Struthio camelus: one gene and its partners. The protein of the gene in region 2 purifies or fractionates together with the protein of the main gene of each other region. This does not show direct contact. Links are inferred from orthologs where the notes say so. Each region holds a gene or a part of one and is shown on either strand. Other genes may lie near its edges. The genes, in order: PRPF6, DDX23, TSSC4 and SNRNP40.

Region 1 (6,818 bases), on a different chromosome or scaffold from region 2:
CCCCCGCTAATCGTCCCCGAGACGTGAGATGGCTTCGGCGGAGGCGTCCGGAGGCGCTGGCTCTCGCCGCGTGCCGGCGCGGGCTTGGCGCTCGGCTGCCGCTGGCACCGGTGAGCTGCGCAAAGGCTCCCGCTGCCGCGGGGCACCAGGCGCCCGCGTGGCGCATGGCAGCGAGCAGATGCTGCGACCGCGGCCTCCGGGCCCCTCTGGAGCCGTTGTGTGGGACTAATTAAAATTTCAGGAAGTATATTTACCTAATGCAGAGCTGATTTTGCTAAGTAGGACATCCTGTCTTCAGAGGATTTCACGGCACAGGGCGATAATCAAGTGCGAATAGGCTCCAAAAGTGTTAATGTAGTAGCTGAGCAGACGCAGATTAAAAACAAGTCCCTGTTTAGTCTTTTCTCTCACTTTCGCACCTGAAATCCAAGTAATCATCCGATTTGGGAGTGCAAAGCAGCAACACCTCAATGCTGCAAGCAGCACGCAAACCGCCGGCGCAGGTCTGCCCAGGGCGGCCGTGGCCGGACTCGCACCGGATGGCAGGGAAGGAGCCGGCGCTGCTGCACGCGCGAGCTCCCCGCCGCCCCGCCGTCCTCGGGGCGATGCCCTGCACACGTCAGCTCCCTGCCATCCTCGGGGCGATGCCCTGCATCCCGCCGTCCTCGGGGCGATGCCCTGCATCCTGAAATCCTCGGGGCGATGCCCTCCACACACCAGCTCCCCGCCGTCCTTGGGGCGATGCCCCCTGCATGCACCAGCTCCCCGCCGTCCTCGGGGTGACGCCCTGCATCCCACCGTCCTTGGGGCGATGCCCTGCGCACGCCAGCTGCATGATCCATTCTTGCAATAATCTCCTGTGTTATCTATTCTCGCTGCATTACGTCATATTTAAAAACATTAATTTCCAGTGCATGGACAGCCCCGCGTTTCTGCCTGGCGCAGGGCCGCAGCGCGGCCAGCACTCCTACACCGGCTTCGCCGGCTCGCTCTCCCGTTGTCCTGGCAGAGGACGGTGACTCCGGCACCTCTTCCCTACAGTTCGTGCTGCAGGTAGCAGCCGGGGAGCGCGCTCTCCGAGAGCGAAGCGCAGCGCCGGCGCGGCTCCTCGCTGCTGCCGTTGCCTCTGCTCCTTAGCGGTTTTATTGCCCGTGCACAGAGACGCAGGCGCGAGAGGCAAGAGCCGCTATGCTCGCGCGCGCGCCGCGGAGCAGCTTGGTTTTCTTGTAGAGTTACGGCCGAACTGCAAAGGCCGAGCGCGCAGCACGGGCGGTGCATTATATTTGCACATTTAGCAGGTGCAGTTGCCCCTTCGCCCCTCAGATTTTGCCACTGAAAACTAGGACCAGTCGCTGGTTTTGCTCCCGCGGCCGCTCCACGCCAGGGATGCTCCGCGCCAGGCTGCGGCTCTGCGCGACGCTCACCCGCGCGTCAACGCTGGGTACCCGCAGAGTTGACTAAAAAGCATTTACGAGGCATTTTACCGAGCCTATAAATTATGCCGGGCGTTCTCGCGGGTGGGAGCGCGACTGCGCCGCGACGGCTGGCGGCGGCCGGCGCGCGGCATCCTTCCCGCGCAGCACGGGAAAGGATGTGGCTGTGGTGTGAACAGAGCAAACGTACAGCACCGAGACCAGCCCCGTGCTCCAGGGCAGCGGCGCATCCCCCAGCGCCACCCTGACCGTTTGCCAAAAGCGATGCTCATTATTATTATTATTATTATTATTATTATTTTCCGCCAGCCAACCCCCAAAATAGCTCGCTGTGAAGTGGCTGGGGGTTGGGTGCGCGGTTAGCGTGCAGAATGGGGCTGTTCGTCTTCTCCGCAGCTGCTTGGCGCTTCCAAGAGGCTGGTGGGAGCTGCCGCGGGGCGCGGGGGCGGCGCGGGCCGGGGCGGCCGGCGGGGGCCAGCGCCCCACCGGGGGGGCCCCTAGACCCCGGAGCGGGCGCTAATGCAGCCGTGAACCTGCCGTGCCCGGAGCACTTTGCAAACGGGCGCTAATTAATCCGGCACGGGCAAAACCCTGCGAGACCCGGCCGGCCCCCGAGGGCTCCCGCGGCCCTCGGAGCCGGTTTCGTCCCTCGGGTGGGATAAGCGGCCGCGGCGGTGGCTGGCGCTTGGTGACTTCCCGGCGTTCATTGGGAGCTGACGTCCTTTTTTTTTCAAGGGATTGACTCGATAAGCCAAACTCCGCGTTGTCGGAGGGAAAAGGGCCGTGCCGGAGCGCGGGAAGCCACGCTGACACCCCGCTCCCGACACGGCGCCTGCTTTGGGGGCGTTCGTGGGAGCTAGGCGTTAGACCAGGGGCCAGGCTGGCCCTGGGCCGCTGGGACGTGTCCTGAGTGCGACAGTGCTCTGCAGCCCCATCTCCTCGGTCGCTTTGGGGCGGCGGGTTGAATCGCACCCCTAAAGCCAACAGGCTCCCTTGGCGCCAGCTGCTCTCCGGCCCCCCCCAGTCCCCCGGAGGAACGTCTCATCTCAGTCGCCCCGAGCCCGAATCCGCCTCCGACTCTGGCTGGAGCAGGGCCCGAGCTCAGGGAGAGCCTGATTAAACCAGGGGACGCATAGCTTTAAATTAAGCCTGCGCCATCTGTTCTGCCTGTTTAATTGCAAATGCAAAAGAGGAAGAAGCTAGTTTGTAATTAATCAGCAAAAAAGATCCAAGTTATTTAATGCGGGCGCATGCCTTTTGTTCGGCGTGCTGTGAATCTACGAGGATTTTTGCATTTATTAAGGCAAACGAGGAGGAAGCGTGTGGGCGCGGGGCGGCGCAGCGGGTGCCACGGGGTGCGTCCGGGATAGAGCGGGCCGAGCGCTGTGCTGCATTTGCGGGTCCGGCTGCACCCCTGTGGCTATAGGTGTCCATATATGTGCCCACACTAGAGACATGCATGGGAGTATGTTCATTTAGGTGTGGACACATGCGTGTGTTTGTCGGTGGATGTGTGCAAAGTGTATGTAATGCAGAAGGGATGTGTGGCATTCCGTGTGCGTGCGGGGACGCAACTCCTCACAGGCAAGGACGCGTGTGCAGGAAAGCTGGGTTGGAACCTATGCAGGCGGCGCGTGAGGCTTTAACACGTATTTGTGCTTGTTAGCAGGCATACCTGTGGTGGAAAGGTGTGGTCTACACACGGAGCAAGAGCCACGTGTGTGCACGCAGGTTTGTGCGCACGTGCATACAGATGTATAGGTGCAGGTGTGTGCAGGTGCACAGGTGTGCATGCACATGCACGCAGGTGTGCAGCTTTACGCACGTGCAGGTGTGCATGCGCGTGTGTGATGTGTACACGTGTACCTGCATGGTGTGCAGGCACACGTGTGTGCAGGGGTGGGTGGGTGCATGCGTGCGTGCCATGCGTGCAGAGCGGTGTGCGTGCAGGCATGCACGTTATGCACGGAGGTGGGTGCGCGGGTGCATGCACAGCTGTGTGCGAGGGTGTGCCCATGTGCAGGTGCACGGGCACCCGTGCACGCATGCAGAGGTTTGTGCACCGTGTGCAGGTGCGCCGTGCACGTCCGCGCGTGCACGGGTGCAGCTGTGCGTGCCCGCTCCTGCGTGCGCGCGCGCGCCTGCCCGGGGCGCGCGCACCGGGGTGTTACCCACGTGCGGGCATGCAACGCCTGCGCGCCCGGGGGTGGGGAGGTGGGGGGTGGGGGCCGGCAGGGGTGCGCATGCGCGCCGGGCTCTGGCGGGACCCCCGGGGCGCCAGGGGGCGCGGGGGGCGCGAGGGACGCTCCCTCCCCCTCCTCCTCCCCCCCCTCCCTCCCCGGCCGCGGAGCGGAAGTGCCGGGTCGCGCTTCCGGCCGCGCGGGCCGCCTGGGTAGCCCCGCCCCGCGGCGCGGCCTGTGATGGCGGCCGCTTCCGCCGCCGCTTCCGCCGCCGCCTCCCGAGCGGCCCCGCCTCCGCCGCTCGCCTCGCCGCCGCCATCGCCGCCGCCATGAACAAGAAAAAGAAGCCGTTTCTGGGCATGCCCGCGCCCCTGGGCTATGTACCGGGGCTGGGCCGCGGGTGAGCCCCCTCCCCCCCACCCCCGGCCCGCCTTCCCCCTCCGCGGCCTTCGTCGCCCGGCCCGGCCCGGCCTGGTCCCCCTGGCCCCCCCGCGGGCCCGCAGCCCCTTCCCCCAACTCCAGGCTGAGCCCGGTTTTACGCCCCGCCGCCCATCGCCGTCCCCTCGGGGCAGGCCGTGCCCAGCGGCCCCTGCTCCGCTTTTTAAAGTTTTATTCATTCTGGGCGGTTTGCGTCTGCCTTTTCGATAGGCTGTTCTTACGTAAACGCCGACTTCGGGGATGAGTTCGAGGGTTTTTTGAGCGTTGTCCGTTAGGAGGGGTGTTGCCGCTGACCCGGGGTTTGTGCGCTCGTGTCGTAATTGCGTGTGCGCGTGGGGGGCTTCGGTAGAAGTCATTAAAATCAGGGCACGCTTGTGCTGGCAGTTATAGGGTAAAACAACAGGCAGGTCCTGGTGATGCATGGGCAGCAGGGGTTTGCCCTGTGGTGGTGGGGAGCTATGTTGTTCTTGGGTGACAGCGGATTTGCATCCTGGTTTTCTCTGTCATGATTTGTTCGTGTCTTTGCTTTGGGTTGAGGCATCCTTGTGGACAGGGGCATGTAGTCCTGTAGGCTGGGCCCTGGAAAGCATTGACTAGCTGAATATGGGGCTTCTGAAGAGCCCCCGTGTCTGCCTCTGCCCTGATTGTATGCACCTTACAACCTGCAGGATGTAGATAATCTTTTTTGCTGCATGCCATTGATGGATAGACTTTAAAAGCGAATGCATCTCTGGGTACAAGGTGATGGATGGTGAGGGGGTGAGCAGGACAACTTGATTCTAGTATCATTATAAATAAAGTTATACCTATAAAAGGACAATTGTTCCCAAAGGGTTTCATGAACAGTAGGGATGGGTAATGCCATCCCTGTGAATGAAGTGTTTTTTTAAATTTTCTAGTTTTAAGTAATTTTAACAGACTCTGTGTAGTGATTGCACTGCTGCGTTGTAAATAGCTGCTATTGGTCTGTCAACATAGAGCCACAGGTTTCACCACCCGGTCTGATATCGGCCCAGCACGTGATGCCAATGACCCGGTGGATGATCGTCATGCTCCGCCAGGGAAAAGAACGGTTGGGGATCAAATGAAGAAGAATCAGACGGCTGATGATGATGACGAAGATCTGAATGACACCAATTATGATGAGGTGATGTGTTAATCATCCTTCAGGTGTTTTTTCCCTAGTGGAAGAGGAGCCCATTAGCTTCCTGCTCTCTTGTCGTAAAACCCTCAGTCAGCTAACAGCACTTCCTCTTTTTTTGTTTTCTTTCTTTCTTTTTTTTTTTATTGGGACCCTGTTATACATAATAGCATAGTGCTTTCAGATCTCTGTTTTGGTGTTCATCCATATGTGTGATTTAATTATATATACAGAGCCCTGAGAGTCTTAGGAAGAAATCCATAGGTAAAATATTAGTTTAAGTGCTTCATGGGACGCATCTTTTATTCGGCTGCAAAAATGAAATCTAAGCTTTTGACATAGTTCTGTTTTTACGCGGTCTGTGTAGTCTCTTGTGTTTAAATCACGCTTTGGTTAGTTAACTATTGTGTTACTCTTTTTGTTTGATTTCAATAGTAACACTTTTTGGGTAATGGAACAAAACGGCTTTTCTCTACTGGGGAGCTTGTTTATTGCTTAATAGAAAGTTTTGCTGTTGAAATGGTGTGGGAGAATCGGCTCTTGCGGTAGAAGAAAGTTGTTTGTATTTAGGGATGTTTTAGTGTGATGCAGTGTTACTAAAAATAGTTTGCTCATGCGTTTTCTTTATCCTGCATGACTGTTGGCTGTACTAGGTACATAAAGAGTTCTAAACTGCAGGTTCAGCTTTTTTTGAACTGCTATTTATTTTATTCTTAGTTCAATGGGTATGCTGGGAGCCTGTTCTCAAGTGGTCCCTATGAAAAAGACGATGAGGAAGCAGATGCTATTTATGCAGCTTTGGATAAAAGGATGGATGAACGGAGAAAAGAAAGAAGGTAGGCTTAGTTACAATGCTGGCAAGGAGTGTTTTTGAGTTGGTCTGCGTTTTCTATTTAGTCTGTATTTCAGAGTTTTCTTCTGTTTTTCAACTCAAATTTTGTCCTTGTCTACTGAATATATTTTCAGAAGCAGATGCTGGTTTTGTTTGTGTTAATGCTGTACGTTAGATACTGTTGCTTTAAGAGCTATGGATACTTGGCACAATTTAACCTGAGCGTATCTCTGTGCTTGTTGCCCATTTTCTTCAGTGGTAGATTTGGTTGAATTGCTTCATTGTAATTCCTTAGGAAGATTTAGGGAGATGCTGAGCTAATGTTTCTGACATATTACCTACTGTACGATACACTGGCAATTGTTACAGAAGTCATCTAATGCAGATGTCTTGTAAACCCGTGAGTGTCACTTAATTTTTTTTAAGTTTATTGCCTGGTCTACAGGTAAGTGGAGGTTAAAGAGTGAAGTTGATTTGGTTGCAAATGTCTAATTTGACACTGTAACATTGTCTTAATTGATGAGCTATTTAATTTGCTGTTATAGACGATGATAGTCTAAACTTGGAATAATAATGTTTTTTGTGCCTTACCTCTGATCAAACACATTTTTCTGTAATAACAATGCTTTAGATAAAGACTTGCTCAGTGTTACTTTGAGTATAACTTCAGTACCCCTTTTCCTAAGGGAACAACGAGAGAAAGAGGAGATAGAAAAATACCGTATGGAACGACCCAAAATTCAGCAGCAGTTCTCAGACTTGAAAGTAAGGAGAGAAAGCTTTCTTAAATATGA
Region 2 (7,847 bases):
GTGGGGGGGCAGGGAGGAGTCCTTCCAGGAGCGGATGGGGTTGGGGATCTTGCCTCCCTTGGTGGTGATGCTGTAGTCCTCGCGGAAAATGCGCCAGTCCCTGTCCGTCATCTCGTCCAGCTTCTTCTGGGACCAGTGCCGGTCGTCCCAGCGCTGCTTGGCCTCCTTCTTCCGCAACTTCCGCAGCCGTGCCCTGGGTGAGGGGAGGCAGGGGACAGTGCTCTCCCCCTGGCCTCCAGGAGGGGTCAGAGCTGTCCCCACCTGTCCCCAGCCCACCCCACACCTCTGGGGACACTGGATTTACCCCTCCACCTAACAGAGGGACATGCTGTAGTCCAGAGCCCCTCATTCTGTCCCCACACGGACAGGTAGAGCCAGACAGGACCCCAGCCACCCCTCAGCACGCTCCCAGCTCCTCCCCAAGCGTGCTCACTCCTCCTGCTCCTTCTCCTCCAGTGTCCGCCTCTTCTCCATCAGGTCCCCGTAGAAACGTGACTGCTCCCGTTTCTGCTGTTTCAGGTCAATTCCCGCGATGAAGCCCCGGCCCAGCAGCTGCACCTGGTGCCGCTCCTTGTACCTATGGCGGGAGGGGAGCGTCAGGGGCAGGGCTGGGGCTGCCCCATGCTCCCAGCCCCAGGGGTGCCCCCAGCACTCACAGGGGGTTGTAGTCGATGGACGTGTCCTCTGACGCGTCCCACTCAAAGACAAACTTGCGGTCGTTCAGGTGCCGGGTGCGCCTTCGCTTTTTCACTCCTCCCAGGTACCGCTCCTGCAGGCGGCAGAGCGTCAGCCCCTTCCCCCAGCCCAGGCTCCCCTCCCCGGCCGGCAGAGAGGGGACCCAGGCGGCCAGGGCACCCCCCTGCCCCAGTCCAGGGGGTCTGCAGCCACTGGCACCTTGATGGCGTGGAGCTCTTTGCTCTTGTCTTTCTCCTCCCGGATCTTCTGCCTGCCTTCCTCGTCCTCCGTGCCATTGGTTTCCCGCTCCATGCGCTCACGGCGCTCCCTGCGCTCACGCTCCTGGGGGTCTTCTGGGGAAGTCGGGAAAGGGTATCAGAGCCGAGCCCTCCCCAGCAGGGCTGGGAGGGGGGTCTGCTCCAGCCCCTCGCAGCCAGGCAGGCCGCAGTAGGGGCAACACCTTACCCAGCATCTTCCTCCCCATCTCCTGGAACTGCTTCCGCTTCTTCCTCTCCTCCTCCAGCAGCCGCTGCCGTTCCTCTACCTCCTGCTGCCGCCGCCGCAAGGCCTCGGCCTCCCGCTCCGCTTTGGACAGGAATTTGGGCTGGGACAAGAGAGGCAAGTTTGTACCACAGCTGGCTGCAACCCCCTAGCCACACCGACCCCGGGGCTGCCCCAGGCAGGGAGCAGCGTCCAGCAGGACAGGAATATCCCCATGTTACAGCTGCTGTGGACAAGGGGTGCTGAGGCCACGCAGGGAGGGAGGCCTCACACTCGTTCCCATGTGGGGGCCGCTCAGGCCCCTTGCAGCAGGGAGAAGGGAGACCCCCATAGCAGGGAAAGGGTCCCTGCTCTTACCTTGGCTTCTGCCTCTTCTTCAGCCTTCTTCTTGGCCAGTAGCTCCTCCAGGGACAGAGGCTGAGCCTGCAAACGTAGGGCCGGACCGTTAGCAGCCCCGAATGCTCCCAGTGGGCATCCCCTGCCCTGCCAGAGGCAGTAGCAGCCCCCCAGGAACTGTTCCCAGCCCAGCCTCCCCCCGTTTACCTTCTCCTTCTTTAGCGCGTTCTCATCTTCCTCCTCCACCTTCCGTGAGTCCCGATCCTTCCGGGACTTCGAATCCTTGCCCCTGCTTGGGGACAAACTTCCGAGCAAAACAAAGGAGAATCAGGCACCGAGCGTAATCCCATCGTCACCCAGTCCCTTCTCTCGCTAGGGCCCAGAATAACGATTCCTACAGAGCCACACGCTCCCGAAGCGTCACTGTGCTCCACCCCAGCAACAGCTGCGTTTCCAGGCTCGGTCCCCTACACGCGCTCACAGAAAAGCTGGGCGGGAGACGAGAGCGCAGACACATAGACAGAGACGTTGAGAGAAGAGCAAGCGCTCACCTAGATCGCTTCCTGTCCTTATCCCGCCGGTGCCCATCTTTGTCCCGGTCGCGGTCCTTCTTGCTCCTGTCCCGGTCGCGGTCTTTGTGCCGGCGATCCCTGTGGAGCAGGGCAGTCGCGCACGGCTCAGCCCCAGCCCCGCGGTCCTTTTGGACGGCTTTTACACGCACCCGAGAGCGACAGAGCTCTCTCCTAAAAGCCAAGCGGTGCCTGGGCTGGGCCGTCACCCTCTGAACTCACCTGTCCGCCGACTTGGAGCGGGAGCGGGTGCGCGAGCGGCTGCCCCGTCTGCGGTCCCGGGAGCGGTGCCGCTTCCTGTCCTTGGAAGGGGAGCTCTTGCGGTCGCGGTCCCGGTCGCGGTCCCGGTCGCGGTCCCGGTCCGGGGAGCGGGAACGTTTCCTCTCCTCCTTGGCGGGAGACGCGTCCCGATCCTTCTTGTCGGCCAGTTCTCCCGCCATCTACGAGGGCGGCGGGTCAGAGCGGCAGCCGGGACCGAGCCGGTACTGAGAACCGGAGACCGGTGACCGGCGTCCCAGGGACCCCACACGGGGGGACCGGCAGGGCCCTCCAGCCCCGAGCGCGGCAGGGTCCGGTGGCTCCGCGCCCCGCGGGGGCAGCGAGCGCGGTACCGGGGCCTCACGGCCCAGGGAGCCTCCACCGCACCGGGGGGCGCCGGGGAGCGCCGGGGGGCGCCTCTCCCCCCCCGCTCCGCCCCCTACGCCAGGAACGGCCGCGCCTCCCCCTGCCAAAGCGTCCGGTCGAAGCCCCCCCGCGCCCGGGCTCACCGCCGCGCAGGCCCAGGCCTCAACGCCGCCGCGCCGCCATCGCCATCGCCGCCGCCATGTCCGCGGGCACCGCGGGGCACGCTGGGAACGGTCCCGGCGCCGCGACTACAACTCCCGGCAGCCCCCGCGGCGCGGCGCGGCGCGGCCCCCGCCCCGCCCCGCCCCGCCCCGCGGCTCCCTCCGCGCGGCCGCAGCGCCACCGCGCCCCGCGGCTCCCTCCGCGCCGCCAGCCGCAGTGCCGGCGCCGCCGCCGCCGCCGCTGGGGGGCCACGGCCGCCCGGGCCCCTGCAATAACCCCACATGCCCTGGGGTCCCAGCAATAGCCCCACATGCACTGGGTCCCAGCAATAGCCCCACAAGCATCCTGGTCCCCTGCAGTAACCCCACATGCCCTGGGGTCCCAGCAATAGCCCCACATGCACTGGGTCCCAGCAATAGCCCCACAAGCATCCTGGTCCCCTGCAGTAACCCCACATGCACTGGGGTCCCAGCAATAGCCCCACATGCACTGGGGTCCCTGCAATAACCCCTCATGCACTGGGGTCCCTGCAATAGCCCCACATGCACTGCACCCCCTGCAATAGCCCCACATGCACTGGGGTCCCTGCAATAACCCCTCATGCACTGGGGTCCCAGCAATAGCCCCACATGCACTGGGGTCCCTGCAATAACCCCTCATGCACTGTGCCCCCAGCAATAGCCCCGCATGCACTGCGCCCCCTGCAATAGCCCCACATGCACTGGGGTCCCTGCAATAGCCCCACAAGCATCCTGGTCCCCTGCAGTAACCCCACATGCACTGCGCCCCCTGCAATAGCCCCAGATATGTCATGGCCCTCTGCAATAACTCCTGCAATAGCCCCACGTGCATCCCTGTCCCCAGCAATAACTGCTGCAATAACCCCACATGCACTGCGCCCCCTGCAATAGCCCCCTTCAATAACCCCTGCAGTAGCCCCACAAGCACCGCAGCCTGCTGCAGTAACCCCTGCAATAGCCCCACATACACTGCGCCCCCTACAATAACTCCACATGGACCATGCCCCCCTGCAATAGCTCCCATGCACCATGACCCCCTGCAATAACCCCATATAAACTGAGTCCTCCTGCAACACCCCTTGCAATAACCCCACATGCACTGTAGCCCCCTTCAACAAACCCTACAACAACCCCCCCACTCCATGGCCCCCTGCGATAACCACATCTGCACTGCAGCCCCATACAGTATCCTGTACAATAACCCTCCGCGCACCCCAGCAGCACCCTGCGCACACCACAGCCTTGGGCAGCACCACCACATGCACCACAGCCCCCTCTCCCCTCCCCCCCCCCAAAGCAACTGCCCTCCTGCCCCAGCACAGGCCTGGCAGGGGGCTGAGGACCTCAGCCACCACTGCCCCTCGAGCTGCTCTCTGGAGAGCAGGAGGCACCCAGGGAGCCCTTACAGGGTGCCCAAAGTCCACCGCACCCGGCACAGCCTGGGTGCATCAACCCCTGCCCCTCTCCCCCCCACCCCAGGCTGCCTGGGCCACCCCACCTCATCACCTATGGGTGGCCAGATACAAGTATCACTGTCATCCTCCCTGCTGGCACAGGCAGAAGTTGTGACACAGATGGAGGACAGACCCCCACCCAGGCCTGGCCCCAAATCCCCCCGACGCAGCCCCTCACCCAACACACGACCAGGCACCCACTGCACGGTGGATAGTTGTTATATTTCCAATAATAAATAAGCTTTTTTAATAACACTGAACATTGAACAGAGTCACCCCAAGAGACAGTCTATAAAACAAGTCGCCCCCTGCCCGGAGCCCCACAGAGCCCCTCGGGGGGCTCCAGGGCCAGGGCCAAGCAGCAGATGAGGGATGGGGCAGAGCCAGACACCAACTGGGCATTCAAAGAAAAAGGATGAGTCCGTGGATGAGTCCTGCCAGCTCCGGGGGCTCAGGAGCAGCCACTGAGCAAGGTCCCCTCTGCGCCGGGGGTCCCCCAGGTCCCCCCACCCCATGGCATCACAGCAGGGGCTGCCCCCCAGCCCCAGGGGCCAGGACGTGCGCGCTGTCTGGGGGGAAGCGGTGTGATGTGGGGGGCCGCCGGCATCCTCCCCGCGGGGCACCACGCCGCAGCCCCCACTGCCCCGGTGCGGGGGCCTCGGGGGGCCAGGGCCATGCTGTCCTGGTCTCCCCCCTTCACATGACGGAGCAGCTTTTTGCCTTCTCCTTCTTGAAGGCGGAGGAGATGAGCTCGGAGCGGCTGGGCAGGTGCAGGAGCCGCTTGGAGAGGCTGCGCGCGGGGCTCTTGGGCAGCTGCGGGCTGGGTCTGCTGAGGCAGATGCCGGACACGGTCCGGAAGATGCTGTGCACGCTCTTCTCCGACGTGAAGGCCGAGCACTCCAGGTAGCTCTCTGCTCCCAGCTGCTTGGCCGCAGCGCAGCCCTGTGACCCAAAGCCACGTCAGACTGAGGCAGTAACTGACTTGCTGCCCCCAAACTGGCCCCCTCAGCACCCTGATTTTGGGTCCCAGCCCATCCCCAGCACCTGCTCGTAGGAGATGGGCGCCTGCTTCTGATGGGAGAGCTCCATGAGGGTGCTCAGGTCCGTCCGCAGGTCCGTCTTGCAGCCGATGAGCAGCACCCGGGTGTTGGGGCAGTAGTCCAGGATCTCCGTCTTCCACTGCACACACAAACCCACAGTCAGCTGGGCACCCTGGGGTCCCCAAACCCGATCCCAATGCAGGGGCTTTCCTGGGAAAATGGTCCCCACGACCGTGCACGGAGGGATGGGGCTGAGCACCCCTCACCTTCTTGGATGCGCTGTCCAGGGTCTCAGGGCGGCTGATGTCGAAGCAGAGCAGCACGGCATCCGAATCGCTGTAGCAGAGGGGACGCACGTTGTCATAGTAGGGAGAGCCTGGGAGAAGGGGGGGGAGTCACCACGCTGCACCCCGCAATGGCCGAGGGGCTGCTGCCCCCCAGGCAGCAGGGAGCTTGCAAAGGAGGGGGAGCAGCTCCAGAGCACCCTAAAACACTGCCTTGCCTCGTTAACACACCCATCTTCACTAATGAGGCAGCAGGAAATGGTTCCTGGGGAGTTTATATAACCGCAAACCCTCCCCCACAAGAAGGGAGCCCTGCCAGCAACAGGGGTGTCAGGGACCAGCCGGGGCACCCGGTGAGGGGGTGGCAGGGCACCAGGCCACCCCCATGGGGCATGCCCCATCACCAGCACCGCAGAGGGACACTGCGAGGGAGCCCCCCCTGCAGGCATGGGGGTGAGGCAGGGCACCCCCTCCATGCTGCCCCCCCCGACCCCAGCGTGTCCTCCGAGGGGTTTTGCAGCCCAGACGCTCCGTGCGCGGAATAGCAAAGAGGCTGCGCCAGCACATCGCCATGGCAACATGGGGACCGCAGGTGGCGGGGACCCCCTGCCGATGGGGGGGACACTGCAGCAGCGGGGCAAGGCTGCCCCAGCCCCCCCCCCCCCCCCCCCCAGGATGGGGCAATGGCAGGACTCCTCCATTTGCAGAGGCCCCCATGCAGCCCTAAGGGGGGCTAGGAACACAGAGGGGCTTGCACTGGTGCTGGGCTCCTGCCCAAAAAAGGGGTGCTGAGCCCATACCTGCCCCCAATGCATCACCCCCACCCCACAGAGCCCTGTCCCCTCCTGCACCCAGGGGACCAGGCCCCCCCCACTCCCCAGCCTCAAGGATCCAGGCCCCCACCCTGAGCCAGCCCCGGCTATGCACCCCCACTGCAGCCCCCTCAAACCAGGTCAGAGCCCCCCACCGTGCCCCACTGCAGGCTCCCCCCGTGCTGCAGCCCCCCCATAGCCCAGGCATCACACCCCCCCCACCACTGCAGTGCCCCATTGCAGGGCTCCACCATGCTCCCCCACAGGTCCCCGATACCAGCCTCCCGCAATACTGAGCGCGCAGCTCCCCCAGAGCATGCCGCACCCCCCCCGCTGCATGCCCCCACCTCTCGGTACCGGAAGGGCATTCTCCCCCCCAACTCCTCCCCGGGAATGTCCCCACTTCCCCCAGTACCAGACAGGCACCCCCCTTTCCCATGCATTCCTTCCCAGTACCGGAGGTGCAACCCCCCCACCCCGGTACCGGAGGGGCATCCCCCCTCATTCCCCATGCATGCTCCCCCCGGTACCGGAGGGGCATCCCCCCTCATTCCCCATGCATGCTCCCCCCGGTACCGGAGGGGCATCCCCCCTCATTCCCCATGCATGCTCCCCCCGGTACCGGAGGGGCATCCCCCCTCATTCCCCATGCATGCTCCCCCCGGTACCGGAGGGGCATCCCCCCTCATTCCCCATGCATGCTCCCCCCGGTACCGGAGGGGCATCCCCCCTCATTCCCCATGCATGCTCCCCCCGGTACCGGAGGGGCATCCCCCCTCATTCCCCATGCATGCTCCCCCCGGTACCGGAGGGGCATCCCCCCTCATTCCCCATGCATGCTCCCCCCGGTACCGGAGGGGCATCCCCCCTCATTCCCCATGCATGCTCCCCCCGGTACCGGAGGTGTCCCAGAGGCTCAGCTCCACGCGCTGCTCCTCGCTGGCCAGGCACGCCGTGTAGTTCTCAAACACGGTGGGCACGTACGTCTGCAACGGCACCGACAGCGTCAGCGCCCGGTGCCGCCGCCGGCCCGAGCCCCGCTACCGGCGGCGGCCGCGGCGCGCCTCACCTCGGGATAGCAGTCCTTGGCCAGCACCTGGAGCATGGCCGTCTTGCCGCACTGCACGTCGCCCACCAGCACCAGCTTGCAGCGGGCCGGGGCGGGCGGCGGCGGCCTCCGCTCCCTCATGGCGGCGGCCCGAGCGCAACCCTCCCCCGCCCGGCGCCCACCCGCCAGCCCTGCGCGCCCGCGCCGCAGCGCCCTTATATAGCGCCGCCGCCGCCACGCCCCGCCCACGGCGGCGCCCGCCCACCAATCGCGGCGGGGGCGCTCGGCGCCGCGGCCAATGGCGAAGGGGCGAGGGGGGGGC
Region 3 (7,430 bases), on a different chromosome or scaffold from region 2:
GTCATCAGTCTTCTTAGGAGATTTTCCTCTCAGATCTGTTTTTGTGTGTTTCTTATGATCCTCCCCTGCTGACACTTTCTTTTCCAGTCCATCAACGCCCCTTTTTGTTGGTTTGGTGAAGATAATCCTTCCAGCACCACAGCTGGAGGGGTCCTGGTTGAAGTATGGGGTGTAGCTATCGTGGGCAGCTGAGCTTTGTTCCTCTCCTCTTTTCTTCAAACCCTCTAGAAACTCCATGGCCACTGCCCTGTTAGTCTTGTCATTAGACTCTGAAACGCCATCTAGGCTATACTTGGTCCAGCGCTCTGGGTGTGCCACATAGTCAGGAACTGCAGCAGAAATTTTGGGAGCCTGCACTGGTTTGGTTTGTTTTCCAGGGCTTTCTGGAACCATGTTACTTGAAACAGTAGTTGGAGGCAAAGGACGTTTAAACCTACCATCAACAACATTATCTTCAGGCAATGAGGGCACAGACAGTTTGGCTGCCTCTTCCAAGCAATCAAAAATGCTCTGGCTACGGAGAGAGAATGTAGAACTCATGCCTCTCAAGTGGAATGGCTGGATGGGAGATTTACAACGGCTGTTTGAAGAGTCGGAGGTCTCCCCTGATTGGTAACCCCCATCATCTACAGATGGCTCCTCAGGAGATATTGTATCAACTTCAGCTTCATCCGCTAACCCAAAGTCATCGGAATCAGAATCGCTGAGTGATACTGTGTCAGAGGGCAGAACTCCTTCGTAGTCTGTGGTACCACCAGCCACTATACCCAGAAAGGGTTCACCTGCATCTTGATCTCCCATCTTTGGGCTGTCACTCCACTGATGTCTATGATGTAGGTCCAGGAACACCAGCAAATATGGTTTTCCAAATACCCAACGAATGTAACGCCTAGAATGCAAGGAGTTCAAAAATTCAACTGTGATACAAGTACCATACGTATCACTCTTAACTTAATAATCGGTCCTGCTGTAACCATTGTTTACATGGCACAGGTTATCAGCATCAAGTTTTTGAGCAAATCCACATGACTGTCTTATACGCTACTTCCAGCAATGACCTGTCCAGACTACACCCTATGTTTACCGTACTGTATAAATCCAACAGAAATATACCCTAATCTCTCACTTACTTTGGCTGCTATTTTCCTTTGCTGCACTAGCACTACGCCTTGTGCCAATAAGCAGTGTATTCATTATACTGTCTGTTACAAAGAACACTCTCACTGATCAAGGTCAGTGAGAGAGAAGTTTATAAAACAGCACGGCTATAGCTTCATTTTTTCTTTACTGATATAAAGCACAGGCTTCATTCCTTCCCTGACTTTAAGCTCTGTCACGTCATTACTAGGTTTCAGGGATCATGTGATGAGCCAGCTCAAGGACTTAATCTAATTGGATTAGGAAAACTAATCACACATGCCTTGCTTGTGCTAACACAGTGGAAGCAAGGGGAGCCTGCAACTGAGGCTCAACAAGAGCTGGCCCTTCACTCAGTAAAAACAAACTGTGAAACCGAAGCCTGAGTTCCAGTACAGGCTGGAATACCAGATTCGCTCTGTCTTCCGACAGAAGGGAACTCTCCATAACCGGAGATGGTTGCTGTTCACGCTGCCACTTGCTGGGCAATAAGAAGCGGAGCTGGTGAATATGCACCTCAGTTCAGCTCACAAAAACATGAGATAAGGAAATAGTTCTAGTATATTACTAGAATAAGCTCAACTACATAATTATGGGTTATTTTCAAACAATGCAGTAAACAGACATAGAAAGTCTGTTAGTCACTCACTTTCTCTTGAGACTGAGTCAGCTTCCCCTCCTGAGGGTCAGTTAAAGCCATCAACGATACAAGCACTTCCACCCTAGAAAACAAACATTTCCATTACAATATTGGAAATGTAGTTTTAGCATGAGCTTTAAAAATAATTCCTTCTCTCTGAATCATCCAAAACTGCAGAACTGATTTCTAAATCTGACATAAGCTCACGCTAATATACAAGTCTGCAGATATTCCCGGATTCTTGGCAAAAGAACAACGCGCTCCCTAATAAGGCTGGCACCGCTACATTTACTCAGTCTCCACGCTCACGCTGCCCGCCTTAAGAGTCTGTAGAACGGGAGACAGCCTTTTAAAAAAAATAACACTGTCATTTGCACGAGCAGTAAACCGTCAAGAGGTGAACTATGTTACATACGGCCAAGAAAAATATCAAATGGACGCTTATGCGTTACGAGCACTTAAACGCTGCAAAAAGAAAAAAAAAAGAAAAAAGAGAGAGACCAAGGCTAGCCCAGGCCCACACAGCAGAGACCCAGGCTAGCCCAGGCCTGTGTTTTCAAAGCAAGGCCGTATTCACAATCTGGGCCAGATTTCTACCAGGCGTTAAAACACAGAGCAACTTCTCAAGAAGGCAGCAGCCCGAGCGGTGCGTTGCACACGCAGCCCAGCTGCCTTGGGCAAGGCGAGCGGATGACTGCTTTTAAAAGCACGGCCCCTGCTGCCACTGCTACATGGCCAACGGCCGGCTGAAACCCCTTACGCCCTTCCGGTTCAGCTGCCGTAGCACGTGAGAGAAGCGGCTGCCACCCAGGAGAGCCCAGGAAAAGGCAGGAGCGACTGAAACGACTGCTTGCAGGCGGCACCGTGCGCGTCGGGGGAGTCACGGTACCTCCTAGCCGAGGTCAGCTACCCACCGGTCGGCGAGGGCGGCGTCAGCCCGCCGCAGCCCGGCGGCTCCCTGGCCGGGAAGGGCCCCCTCACGCTCCTCCATGCGGCCGCAGGCCTCTCCCCCTGCAGCCAAGGCAGAACACACACGCCATCACCCCCACGCCGTGGCCGGCAGCCCTCCCCGCCCTTCGCCGTTGCCTCTCCCGCCGGGCCCGCAGCCCCCTACCACAACCCGCCGCCACCCCAACGGCTCCTCGCAGCAACCGCCCGCGTCCTGCCCGCGCGGCGCACGCTGGGACACCGAGTCCCTGCCGCGTGAGGCGGCGCGGCGGCGGGCGGCGCTGGGACTACAACCCCCAGCAGGCAAAGCGGAGCGGGGGGGGGGAAGGCGGGAAGGCACCACCCAGGCCTCACCCGCCCCTCGCCCCTTTGCATGCTGGGAGCTGTAGTTCGCCCGCTTGCCCCCAGGTGGGGGACATTTTGCGAGCTGGGGCCCTCCGCGGGACGCGGCGCGGCGGGACTACGGCTCCCGGGGTGCACCGCGAGCGGCGCCCGCTGCTCTCCGCCGCCATTTTGCAGGCTGTGGGGAGGCGGGCGCGCTGCTGGCGCAGTGCCCTGCGGCCCGGGCAGCAATGGCAGGGCCGGCCCCGCCGTCGCGGTGTGCGGGGCCGGAGCGGGGTCCCGGCCGCCCCCGCCTGCCCGGCAAGCGTCGAGCTCGCCGCCTAACGGCCCCGCGGCGAGCCGGCCCCTCGGAGGGCACCGCCGCCGCCTCCCGAGCATCCCCGCAGCCGCCTGGCAGAAACACGTCCAGCAGAGCCTTTTTTCTCATCGGAAAAGTAGGCGTTTGGCCACAGTGAAAATGTCAGAGGAAGTGTCTGGTGTTTGTTTTGTTTTTGGTTTTTTTTTTTAATTTGTATGTATTTATTTTTCAACCAGAAGACTTCCAAGTCACTAGAGGCATAAAACCAGTGTCCAGCCAAAAAAAGAAAGTTTCCATTTTCTGTCCCAGAAGAACATAATGTGTATGCTTGGAAAAGTGGAATTCTTTCTAAAAATGTTTTATTGGTTTTGGCCAAAGGTGCTTGATTTTTTTTTTCCCCTCGTTCAGTGAAAAGTTTAAATTTCCAGTGAAAATAGACTTCTCAAGTGACTTCAATATTTAGCTCATTTACAGTGTGTTCAGGAAAAAAAAGAGCAAGGTTTGTTCTTTGAGTGCCATACACGCAGCATGCGGTACAGAAGTTTGCAGGATTTTCCTTTTTCCCTCCACCCTTCCGCAGGGTCACGCACCCTTACTGCGTCGCATGATTGTGGGGGCTTCGTCATTAAATGGAATTAAATTAATGCCTACAAAGGGTCTGAGCTGCTAAAGGTCAGGCCTTTACTTAATCGGGTTGCCCAGCAGTGAAGGATTAAGAGAAACATAGGACTTAGTCCAGGCCTTGTAGATGATTTATATCATCGTTTTGCAACAAAAGACAGAACTGTTGGTGGAGTCCTACCATTTTGGATTTTGGTGGCACCTTTTTTTCCACAGCATCCAAACCCTGTTTCATCTCGGTTTCTTTGCCAAAAGGTAAGTTTGTGTCTGTGTCCTAAAAGACTTCACAGAAGCCCTTCAAGAGGGGCCTCGCTGTGAGTCATCTGTAATATAAGCTGCAGCCATTTGTATTGTGAGTTTTAAAATATATATACACTTTTGCCTTCTGGAGTGTTGCTCACTACAGTAATTTATGAGATGAGTAATTTATGAGATGAGAGCTGTGTTTGGAATACGTTTGGCAGCAGTAACAAGGTTAGCACAAAATGTCTTTCGTCTGGCCGGAGCTGTGCTGCAGTTTTAAATCAACAGTTCTAGAGGTGTTTCCCCATTTGGTGATCCTTTTTGAAAATAGTGTGATCACAGCCATTAAAATGGGTTCCTGGCTGGAGGGAGGAAGAGCGGAAGAGTTCTCTGGTACATCAGCAGGAGCAGGTATGGGGAGGGTAGTAAACAGGCAAGGAAACCATCTGAAAGGGGAAATAAGACTAAAACACAGGTAAAGTCTGTGTAACACTGTGTAGCATGTCAGGGACGTACCAGGAGTGAATCTCGGAGAGTAAAAAGGAGGAGGCAAGGAAAGGATGTGGAGTAGGCAGTGGCATATCCCTTTTTTTTGTAAGGGTGGAGACAAAGAAGGTCTGGTGCAAATGGATGAAATGGTTTAAAACCTGGTTGTAATGCTACGTTAGTTAGGAGCTCAGGAGGGCAGAAAAGGGCTACGCCACCTCCAGTCTCTCCATCATCCACGAATCCGGGTGCCTTCAGGGACAAGCCCCATTCCTAGATTTGTGGAGGCCACTGGCATTGCTAGGCTTAGTCACTGCTCAGTTTTCACCTGGAAGCTATGTCTGTTAATGGCCAAAGTCACCTTCAGAAGCTGGCTGTACCCATTTTCTCCTTCCTGCCTTTTTGCAGAAGATCAGTACCACACACTGCAGCAATCCGGGGATGAGCTACTTTTTTCTGGTGACTGAGGACAAGGCAGTTTGTAGTGGTGGATATACTGGTGTGTTGGGATTTTTTTGCTATTGCTTGGTGACAGCTGAAATAAAAATAATGAGTCAGGCCCTGAAGATGAACAGATGGTAAAGCGTTTTCCGCTAGCCAATATGAACTAAGGTGGCTTGAAGAGGGATGAGGGGCTGGATCGCGGCTCTAACTGTGGTGCGGGAAATCATCCAAATGAGGGCGGCGTGTTCTGTGTGCAAGCTCCAAGGAGCCAGCTCCACCACGGCGTGGGCTTCTTGGAGGAGGTGGCCCTGTGCGCCTGCAGGAAGCCAGCACCTCCCTGCATGCGGGGGTGGCCTGTGCGAATGCATACACATCACAGCCCTGCTGGTGGGAGCTTCATGCTCCTTTCTTGCAAACGCATCTGTCAGTTGGTGCCCATCTGGTAACAGGTTCTGCTACTCAGCCGGCAGGTTCCTGCTGCTTCTGCTGTCAGAGGCCAGGGTAGACGCTGGCAGGCAGTTCCTGCCCCTGTCCTCATGGCTATTGGAAAGGGGCAATTCCTCAGAAATGGGGGAAGCTCCTTATGGTGGGACTGCAACGGTTGCCATAGGTCTCTGCAGTGGGGGACTAGGAAGCAATAGTGGCACGGTATCTGTCGGACACAAGTGAGCCACTGAGATCCTGCAAGCCAGAGAGAGCAAGCAGATGCATTTTTTTTCACCTCGTTATGCATCTGGAGTGAGGATGGAAGTGAGTCTGACCTGGCTATGCTTAGCTGATGCTGTAGGTCCTGAAAGGAAGTAGGGAGGGAAAGGAGTATTTTCCTATAGCCAAAATCAGTAATAGCACAGTAATAAAGACCATATTGTCCTCTGCTGGGAGGATGCAGCTGCACCAGGGCAGAATGGGGTAAAGGTAGTGGCTGAAGGAAATAATCAGATTTGCCCTCTCCCATTTGCAGGAAGGAAAGTCTACAAGTGGCCATGAAATCCTGTTGGGTGAGTTTCCAGGAGCTCAATGTTTGACACTCTCTTCTACACAGAGTTTTGCTCACTAGTTTTGCTTAGTATTTTTATTTGGTCCTGGTTCACCTGCAAGCAGTTTTGATTTATTTCAGTGCTGTTTATCCATGTTGGTGCTTTTTTTCCCCTAAGGTAACTATTATCAAAGTAGTTACTGTGACGTTAGTCTTAATACAGGCAGGCCATGAAGCTCCAAACCCCAGTTTCCATCAACCTGTTCTTTCAAATACCAATGTTATTGCTTGACCTGGAGAGGACCTGTGCTGAGAACCTGCATCCCTTGCTCTGTTAGAGACCATGTATGTGTAGGAGATGCCACACACGACATCTGAGGGGGAGCAGGAGCTGAAATTGTTTAGGACCAAATTAATGTGCTGTGCAATTGTTGTTTCAAATTTAAAAAAACAACAAAACAAAACCCCAAATAGTTGGGGGACCCTCTGTTCATTTTGATTTAGCTACAGCATATTTTTACTAAAAAGCTTTCTCCTAATTCTCACCTCTTTTTTTTTTCTTTCCTATCATTGGCCCCAGTGTGTTTAATACTGCAGTTGAGCAGGGCTGAAAGAGAGCGTTTGAACTAGTCGAGTGCCTTGAAGTTAATATTAAAAAAAAAAAAAAACACAAACCCCCTAAAACTCCCCACACCTCCTGTTAGAACATAACCTGTAGACACTTCATTAACTGATGTGACTTTATAGTCAACACAGAGATTTGTGTTTAACACCTCTAAACCTTGCCAGAGGGAAACTCCCCAGCTTACTCCCAGCCTGCAGGCACAGTGTTATACACAAGCTGTCTTGCCTACCTAACACCAACACCTCACTGGTACTCAGCAAAGCTGTGTTCTAACATGAGTTAGTGCCCTAGAAACACAGGGCCAAGAAATACTTAAAAAAAAAAAAAGTAATTAGCTTTTAATTAGAAATATTACTTGCAACCACTGGCATTTGAGCTGGCTCATTGGCTCATCTAAAACTAGTGGGGAAACACCAGTCAATCCACATTCTCATGCCCAGCTGCAAAGATACTCTCTGTAACGCATCTGCAAATGTGAAAACATATACACACCATGCTTAGTTGGCTGCGTGCTGTTTTCTTTTTGCTCAAGCTCCCTGGGCTCTGAAGTGAAAGCATCCAGCTGCCTACTTCATACGCACCAAGTGCCAGAGGCTGGCCAAAGCATTTACATTGAAATAGTACACTTTTGCCTATGGAGCCTCCTGCTTAGGGTATGCCCTGTGCCAGG
Region 4 (7,270 bases), on a different chromosome or scaffold from region 2:
TGTAAAGTTAACCAACAGGCTTCCACGTTTTCCCTCGACCATTGCTATATCTTGCATTTCGCTACAATCAAAATCTGATGGGACGGAAAAGGTGTGTAAAGTCAGAACAGATGCACAAGATAGAAATCATCATACCTTAATATCATTGTCAATGCCCCCCGATATGATTTGATCACTGGTGTCATTGAAAGTCACAGCCAAGACTTGGTAAGTGTTCTGAAATGTTTGGACAGCAGCTTTTTTCCTGATATCCCACAGCTGAAAAGATATGGCAATTTTAAAAGTTACAGAGAGGCATTTAACAATAAAATCATAGAAAGTTGCAGACACGTTGCCGGGTCTCTGACTGCTCTACTGAAACTCACTTTTTTAGATCTCAAGAGTTAGCTACAAAAATAATAGCAGAGACATGCTATGGTCAGGAACACAGGACTTTTCGATTTCTGAAAATAGGGGACGGGGCAAGAAGGAGCTGGAGTAAAAGATTTCAGTACCTGTTTGCCTTCCTCATGTTTTGTTTATGCTGTTCTACACTGCAGTAAAACTTGATTTATTTTGCATTAAATCTATATCGATTACAATGCATCACAAACAAGCACACTGTTACACAGAAAGAAGACAGTCCTCCTTTAATGAGACAATGGTTTGTTTAGGCTGCTCCAATATGGTATCCCAACTGCATCTCCTGAACCCATACTCAAAGAATCGTGGAAGGAAAAGAAGTATCAAGTTTTATTGAAGTTGTTAGATAATGAAATTATGAGACAGTAAAGAAAGGCTGAATTTAACTCACTGAACCAGTAAAAACAAAAAAGGACTATCTCCTTATACAACGCACTGACCTTCACTGTCCCATCATCACTACCCGTACAGACAAGTTGGGGTCCACGCCTTGCTGGGTAACAGGAGTTAACGAATGACGTATGGCCCTTCAGTCTCTTTACTCTCTCTCCCGTCTCACTATCCCACACCGCCACTGTTTTGTCTGTGGATGCTGAGAAGAGCATGCTGCGGAGAAGAACAGCTGTGAAGTTCTCCATTTCAGAGGCATTTCTCCCATTCTACTTTTGTTACTCCCAAGTACCGAGAGCAAAGCTCGAAACGTTAAACACAAACATGTCATTGAGAAGAACTACGCCCAATATGCAAAGGCTGGTGCAAAGACAATTCTGGTCAGCGCAGACTGAATGACCGTGGAACAAGTACAGTGGAGATGCTCCCATCTAAACCCATTTTTTGATCAGTACGTATTGGTTTTCCACCTGCTCAAACACTATCTAGGATGAGAACACAGGAGAAAGAATTCTTTGTAGCACTCCTGGTTAAGATGTAACAGCGGAACAATCTTCCAAATTAAGAAATATCTCACTTGTTTTCTTTCACTCCCCAACCAACCAGCATCTCGCTCAAGACCAGCTCAGACTTTCACGTGTTCCTCAAGATTGAAATCAAGGGCACTCCTAGGTCACAAGTAGCTCCATATCTTTTGCTTAATCTCAAGCAGGCACACTCCCTTCCTGGGAAAGCCACAGTACAAGTGCTCCTCTTCAGTACCATTAATGAAGGTCAACTAAGCAGCTGCAATGAACAGGAGGAGCTCTAAAGGAGTCTGGCTGGCCAGCAGCAAATACGTTGCCCTGAAAACTGCCAAGCGCCCCTCACGAGCCACCTAAATGAGTGTGGCTGAGGTGCATGACAGATGCTGCCACTCTCCCAAAACTGTCTGTAGACTTTGTTCAGAAAGAGCAAGAAGTGAGGCAGAAAACCGACCTCACGACATTTACCTGCCATCTGTGTTATAGTGCAACTCCATAACCGCTCCACTGTGTCCCTTCAGGGTGGCATAATTATCACAGTCCCCATAGACGTTCCACAGCACTAAAGGACAGAAAGAGAGAGATTAGTAAATGAACGATGTAAACACGCACTCGCTGTGGATAGCTTGATTCTCCCGAAATTCATTAAAACGAACCACCTACAGTAGCCAACATCTCTTCACATCTAGGACATATAGCAATAAAAGAGTACCAAGTGGGCTAGGTGAGCCCCAGAAAGCACACAGCTCTTTTAAGGTGATTTACGATTTCAGATACAGGTGAATTTATTATGAAAAACAGGTAGCCACTCCAACCCATTCTAGCAAGCCAAAAGCCTTAAAAAATGTATTTCCAAAGATTGGTGCAGACACAAATGCATAGTAACCTACGCAAGGGATGAGCGAATACAGAATTAGGACAAGCAAGGCACATTACTGACCCTAGCCAAGGAAAAAGCCACACTACTTGGACAGCAACCTGTCCGAGGAGCCTGACGTTTCCTGTTCACCGCCTGGCAAAGCGCCGACGCGCTTTACATGGACTCAGCAAGCAGATTTTTGAAATGAAACTAACGGTAGTCTAAGGGAAGAGGCACGGGGCGGCTGCCCGAAGCCAGGCGAGCCCCGGCCCGGCTCCGCGCTCGCTGGGGCAGCGGAGCCCGGCGCCGCCAGCACCGCTGGTACTCACGGATGAGCCTGTCGAAGCCGGCAGAGGCGAGCGTGTTGCCGTTGGGGTGGAACTTGCAACAGTACACCTCGCCTTCGTGCCCCGACAGCAGCATGATGGGGGCCTGCAGGGAGGAGGATCGCGGCGGGCCCTGCGGGGAGGCAACGAGTGAGTCGGCTGAGGGGCGAAGCACCGCGGCCCCGTGGCGGCGGGACGGGGCACCCCCCCGGGGCACGGCCAGCGCCTTCCCCCTCCGCCATTTCCCCTCCGGGCCCCGGCCCCTCCACCATTTCCCCTCAGCCCGCCCGTACCGCCTGCAGCAGGGCCCCCGGCGGCGGCTGCTGCTGCCCCCCGCCGCCGCCGCCGCCGCCCGGCGCTCCCGGGAGGTCGTGGCGGGGCCGCTTGGCCGCCGTGGGCACGAGCGGGAGGTCGGGGCCGGGGGCGGCGCCCGGAGCCGGGCCGGGGCCGGGGCCCGGGCCGGGGCCGCCGCCCGGGACCTTCCGCTTGTGCTGCTCGATCATCGCCGCCGCCGCGCGCCCGCCCGTCCCGCCCCCTCGCCCCCATTGGGCGGCCCCGCCAAGTCTTCCCGCGCTGATTGGCGGAGAGCTCCCGGCTCGGCTCGCTTCGTACCTCACTTCCGGCGCGCGGGTGGCGAAAGGAGAGCAGAGGCGGCCTGGCCGGGCGCTCTGCGCGCGGATTGGCCGCTGGCGCCGGAGGAGGCGGGATGGAGGGAGAGAGGCAATATAGGTAAAGACGATTGGCTCACCGGCTGTCACCTGCGATCACCGCGCGCGACGGTTGGTGGAGCGCCGCTTTGCCTCAGAGCGAGGGGGGAAGCGGGAGGGGGCAAAATGGCGGTGGCGCCTGGTGGGGGTAAGTAACGGTGGCGGCGACGGGTCGGGCGCTCGCTCGGTCTCAGCCTCGGCGGGGCTGGTGTCGCGCTGGCAGGGGAAGTCTCGGAGCATTGCGGCGAGGTTGGGCTTCCCCACCCTCCGTCCGGATCAGGCCCGGCTGGGCCCGGTGCCGCCTGGGAGAGCGGCCCGAAGGCGGCCGCAGCTGGTGTCACCCAGCTCGAGGAGCTAGTGTCGCATCATAGCCTAAATCAAAATGAACCAAAGAATTTGTCATATTAGTCGAATGTCACTGAGCTGGTTGCAGGAGGTGTTCTCAAGTGCTGATTAAATATATTTTTCCAAGGCATCTCTCTGAACTCCGGTTACGAGCGTGGTTCCTCCGCAGCGCAGTGACGTGCAATGAGTTCAACTGGAGTCGCCCAGAAGGTTTTGGAGGAACGTTGTCGGTTGCTCCCAGAGACGCTCCCGAGCACGTCCTGTGAGGTCTGAGATGATGGAGGCGCTGCCTGAGCTCTACGCTATCTTCCAAGGAGAGGTGTGCAGTGGGGCTGCGGCCACGATACTGCGAGGTGTCGTGAAGTGCGGGTTGTTTGCTTTAGTTTAAATGACTGGTTAGTTCAGCGGTGGTTTGGGTAACTGTCAGCTACGTTGCTCGTTTATGTAAGTATACGTATATGTGTGTGTTCACACACACACACACACACACACACACATATATGCATATGTATTATTAACAGAGGAGTAGTTGGCTGGCCACGCTTGTTCTAGAGTTATCGAGGAGTGTTGTCTCTCCCCAGCCTTGAAGTCTAAAACTGAACTAAGATATGAGAACCATTTAGCCTTTTTTGTGCATGTTTTAACTGGTGGTTTCAAAACAGGATTTTTACCAAGTCTCTTTTGTTTAGATATTGTATTGATTTTCTTCACAGGTTGCTACTGTAACAGAATATGGGGCATTTATAAAAATCCCAGGCTGCAGGAAACAAGGTTTGTTTCTCTTATTTGTTTAGGCTTATTTTCATGTTGACTTGTTAGGCTCTGCAATCATCCCCAGAATAAAAGATTTGGCAATTTTTAGGAGAATACTAGAATTTCTCCTTCTTTTTCTCTATCTGATTTATCTGCTAGCTCAGAAAAAGTGTTGAACTTAAAAAAAAGAAAAAACAGGTTCTCACAAATTACTTAAGGTAGTGCTACATATGCAGTTATACAGAAAAGGCTCAGAGGATTTCAGAGGAAGTGGGTTTTTTTTTTTTTGGTAACTTCACCGCATCTTAGAGAATCGTTTTCAGGTGGTGGACAAACTATAGAAAATTCCACAAGAAATTTAGCTTGACAACTTATTTCTTTCATGACCAGTTTGCAAGTCAAATAAAGATGACTGAAGTGGACTTCAAATAAAAAATAGACCGGAAAAGCTGACTTAGTTTTGTTTACAGTTGTGGGAAAACTGCAGAGTAAAATAAACTAGTCACACAAAAGAAGCAATTTAAGCTGGATGTTCTGTCAATTGTTTGTATGCATACGAATAACCACTTCTTCACTCTCATCTTGAATTGCACACTTACTTTAGCGCCAGCTCTAATAAAAATTTTTGCATGGAAGTGTGACTAGTGGAAGGATGTCTCTTTGAGATGCAAACATGTCCTGAAATATAAGCCTAGACATGAAGGTGTGTTTCCATACTTATCCTTCCATGTATAATCCTGTAGCCCACATTTATTATTTGTGTAAGTTTTAAAAAAAAAAAAAAATCTGGCTGTATGACCTTGCAAGCACAACAGAAAATCAGGTCAGCCTGGGTATTTAATGGTTTTGACATTGCCAGCAAAGTATTGTGCTGCTGATGCATGAAATGTTCTTTGTTCTCTAGTGCTTACGTTGGTTTCAGAGGACGGACAGGAATAGAGAGGCGTTAATGCCTGCTTAAAATAAAAAGTTTTTTTTTTCTTTTTTTCCATGTGGACGCCTGGTATTTTGAGTACAAAGACGCTGCTTTGGGGCCTGCTTCTCTGACAAGCTGTAAATTAAGATCTTAAATACGGAAGGTCCGTTTTCTTTTTCTGGAGTTAGTGTCTCAGTTATCGGTAATGTCTCAGTTATCAATGAGGCGCCAGCTCATTGCACATAGTGCTAAATCATCCAGCCCCGGAGGTGTCTGGACACACATGAAAACTTGGACTGATGAATCCAGCCTGGAGGCTATGAGAATACTGTCTCCCTGTTGGTTGATCAGATCCCTTAGTTTTGATTGCATTTGTTTCATACAAAAACTTGAGGATTGTTTCTGTGGTGATGGTGGTCAGAAGGGGGCATATGCAGCTCTACACCTTTGGGGAGAGCAGTGCTTTTCTCATCGCTTCCTCTATCTCTTTTGACGCCTATTGTCTTGCTGTGTGTCACTCATGCTTCCTAACAGCATGGAGTAAATTTGGAGCAAATATTGATGAGCTTTTATATGTTTGCAAACAAACTTGATTGATTAAACTAACTGATTCTCATCTGCGTAATGTGTTTGGGAAACTAGATGCTTAGTTTTGCGTAGGGAAACCTCTTAATAGGTGCCCTCTGACTCCTAGAGGACAAAACTAACAGTCAGTAGAGACTTTTTTTTTTTTTCCTCCCTTTTTTTTTTTTTACAAAAATATGACCAGGCCTTGTTCATAAGACTCACATGTCATCCTGCCGTGTGGATAAGCCCTCAGAGATAGTAGATGTTGGAGACAAAGTGTGGGTGAAACTTATTGGAAAAGAGGTAATGTTAATTCTTGTTTCTTTAACACTGTATAAATAAATTATATTACAAAAAGAGTAAACTAAGAACTTTTTGATATGCAGAAGCAGGGTGTTCTGGTCGCTTTGTTAAACAAAACATGATATATCTGATAAACAGTTGATTTCTGCTCACTGTCAGGTGAGACATTGGAAGCTGACCTTCTGTGACTTGCTGCAATGCAATCAAAACTTAAAAGCAGCAAAGCGCTTTCCTTTCTTTTCCTCTCTACCTGTTTGCAGCTTGCACCCCCATAACTGTGTGATTGGTGGCCAAATGAGCAATTTGAGAGGATTCCAAGATGAGAGCCAATATAAGCACAGTCTTTTAACAGTTGTGAGAGACAGGTCTGTTATTAGAAGAAGCTGAGTGTTTTTTGTTTTCAAGGAAAGATAGTTGACAGTGAATTTTGCCCAAGGGAAAACACAGATTTTTTTTTTTTTTTTTGGAGGGGTGTGTCTTATTTTCTACCCTTTATTATATTGCTTTTTTGGTGCACAAAAGAAGTGATGCTAGGCCTATCTTCTATATTTAAAGATTCCTTGGAACAAAGACTCTTACTTTGGTGAGCCATTGAAACAGTGAAAGTGGACTATATTTTTTAGGAAAGAAAGGTGGGAAGGTGTTTTTTTGTGTGTGTGGTTTTTTATAATTCTTTTGGCAAATACATGTATTTTGAAACTTGCTGCCTTCTAGAGATGAGAGGTTTTTGTCATAATTGGTTTACATCTTTCAGATTTTTTGAACGATAACAATAGGGTTGACATACAAAGCAATGCCTTCCATTTGTGGAAGATAAACAGATTTAGAACCTTTTGGTGTGTACTTATAGAAGGTTGTAAAAAGACTTTTAAAAGTTACGACCTTTGCTCTTGCTTCTAAAGGGATAATGTGGCAATCAAGGGCTTATTAGGATTCAGAAAAGAATAAGCCCCTAATACAGATACTTAGAAAGTTTTTAACCTCATAAGAAGATAGAAATGTGAGAGCAGGTATAGAGTCTTATTTTTCAGGGTGCAAATCTGCTGAAGGTCCAGCAGAAACTCCCTTGTGGGTGGATTACTGATTAATTATTGAGAATTATAGCAAAGTTCCTAAACATACCCTTTCTTCTACAGCGCTTTGGTTCGCTCATGTTAAATGCAGAATGTTAATCTGAA

Evidence for each region.
Region 1: the proteins of DDX23 (region 2) and PRPF6 purify together in Homo sapiens (affinity purification with mass spectrometry; 3 studies listed by BioGRID and IntAct, counting the BioPlex papers as one, with this or other methods). This does not show direct contact. The link is inferred for Struthio camelus from reciprocal best matches to the Homo sapiens genes DDX23 and PRPF6.
Region 3: the proteins of DDX23 (region 2) and TSSC4 purify together in Homo sapiens (affinity purification with mass spectrometry; 3 studies listed by BioGRID and IntAct, with this or other methods). This does not show direct contact. The link is inferred for Struthio camelus from reciprocal best matches to the Homo sapiens genes DDX23 and TSSC4.
Region 4: the proteins of DDX23 (region 2) and SNRNP40 purify together in Homo sapiens (affinity purification with mass spectrometry; 3 studies listed by BioGRID and IntAct, counting the BioPlex papers as one, with this or other methods). This does not show direct contact. The link is inferred for Struthio camelus from reciprocal best matches to the Homo sapiens genes DDX23 and SNRNP40.

What each region holds. Positions count from the first base shown.
Region 1 is NC_090959.1:17,594,659-17,601,476, reverse strand, and holds the start of PRPF6 (pre-mRNA-processing factor 6), read left to right. Parts: upstream 1-3,818; 5' UTR 3,819-3,942; coding exon 3,943-4,013; intron 4,014-5,029; coding exon 5,030-5,198; intron 5,199-5,909; coding exon 5,910-6,028; intron 6,029-6,710; coding exon 6,711-6,789; intron 6,790-6,818. UniProt on the Homo sapiens protein: Involved in pre-mRNA splicing as component of the U4/U6-U5 tri-snRNP complex, one of the building blocks of the spliceosome.
Region 2 is NC_090969.1:1,012,227-1,020,073, reverse strand, and holds the start of DDX23 (probable ATP-dependent RNA helicase DDX23), read right to left. Parts: upstream 3,007-7,847; 5' UTR 2,849-3,006; intron 2,522-2,848; coding exon 2,304-2,521; intron 2,163-2,303; coding exon 2,064-2,162; intron 1,817-2,063; coding exon 1,720-1,816; intron 1,600-1,719; coding exon 1,534-1,599; intron 1,280-1,533; coding exon 1,141-1,279; intron 1,029-1,140; coding exon 895-1,028; intron 770-894; coding exon 657-769; intron 578-656; coding exon 434-577; intron 194-433; coding exon 1-193. Other genes in the region: RND1 (rho-related GTP-binding protein Rho6), read right to left, coding at 5,038-5,283, 5,386-5,520, 5,648-5,757, 7,376-7,463, 7,547-7,666. UniProt on the Homo sapiens protein: Involved in pre-mRNA splicing and its phosphorylated form (by SRPK2) is required for spliceosomal B complex formation.
Region 3 is NC_090946.1:18,608,423-18,615,852, reverse strand, and holds the start of TSSC4 (U5 small nuclear ribonucleoprotein TSSC4), read right to left. Parts: upstream 3,016-7,430; 5' UTR 2,892-3,015; intron 2,789-2,891; 5' UTR 2,692-2,788; exon of another isoform or gene 2,667-2,691; intron 1,860-2,666; 5' UTR 1,787-1,859; intron 890-1,786; 5' UTR 802-889; coding exon 1-801. UniProt on the Homo sapiens protein: Protein associated with the U5 snRNP, during its maturation and its post-splicing recycling and which is required for spliceosomal tri-snRNP complex assembly in the nucleus.
Region 4 is NC_090964.1:4,647,244-4,654,513, reverse strand, and holds the start of SNRNP40 (U5 small nuclear ribonucleoprotein 40 kDa protein), read right to left. Parts: upstream 3,014-7,270; 5' UTR 3,005-3,013; coding exon 2,795-3,004; intron 2,635-2,794; coding exon 2,505-2,634; intron 1,879-2,504; coding exon 1,785-1,878; intron 1,009-1,784; coding exon 843-1,008; intron 259-842; coding exon 136-258; intron 1-135. Other genes in the region: ZCCHC17 (zinc finger CCHC domain-containing protein 17), read left to right, coding at 3,828-3,872, 4,267-4,324, 5,992-6,092. UniProt on the Homo sapiens protein: Required for pre-mRNA splicing as component of the activated spliceosome. Component of the U5 small nuclear ribonucleoprotein (snRNP) complex and the U4/U6-U5 tri-snRNP complex, building blocks of the spliceosome.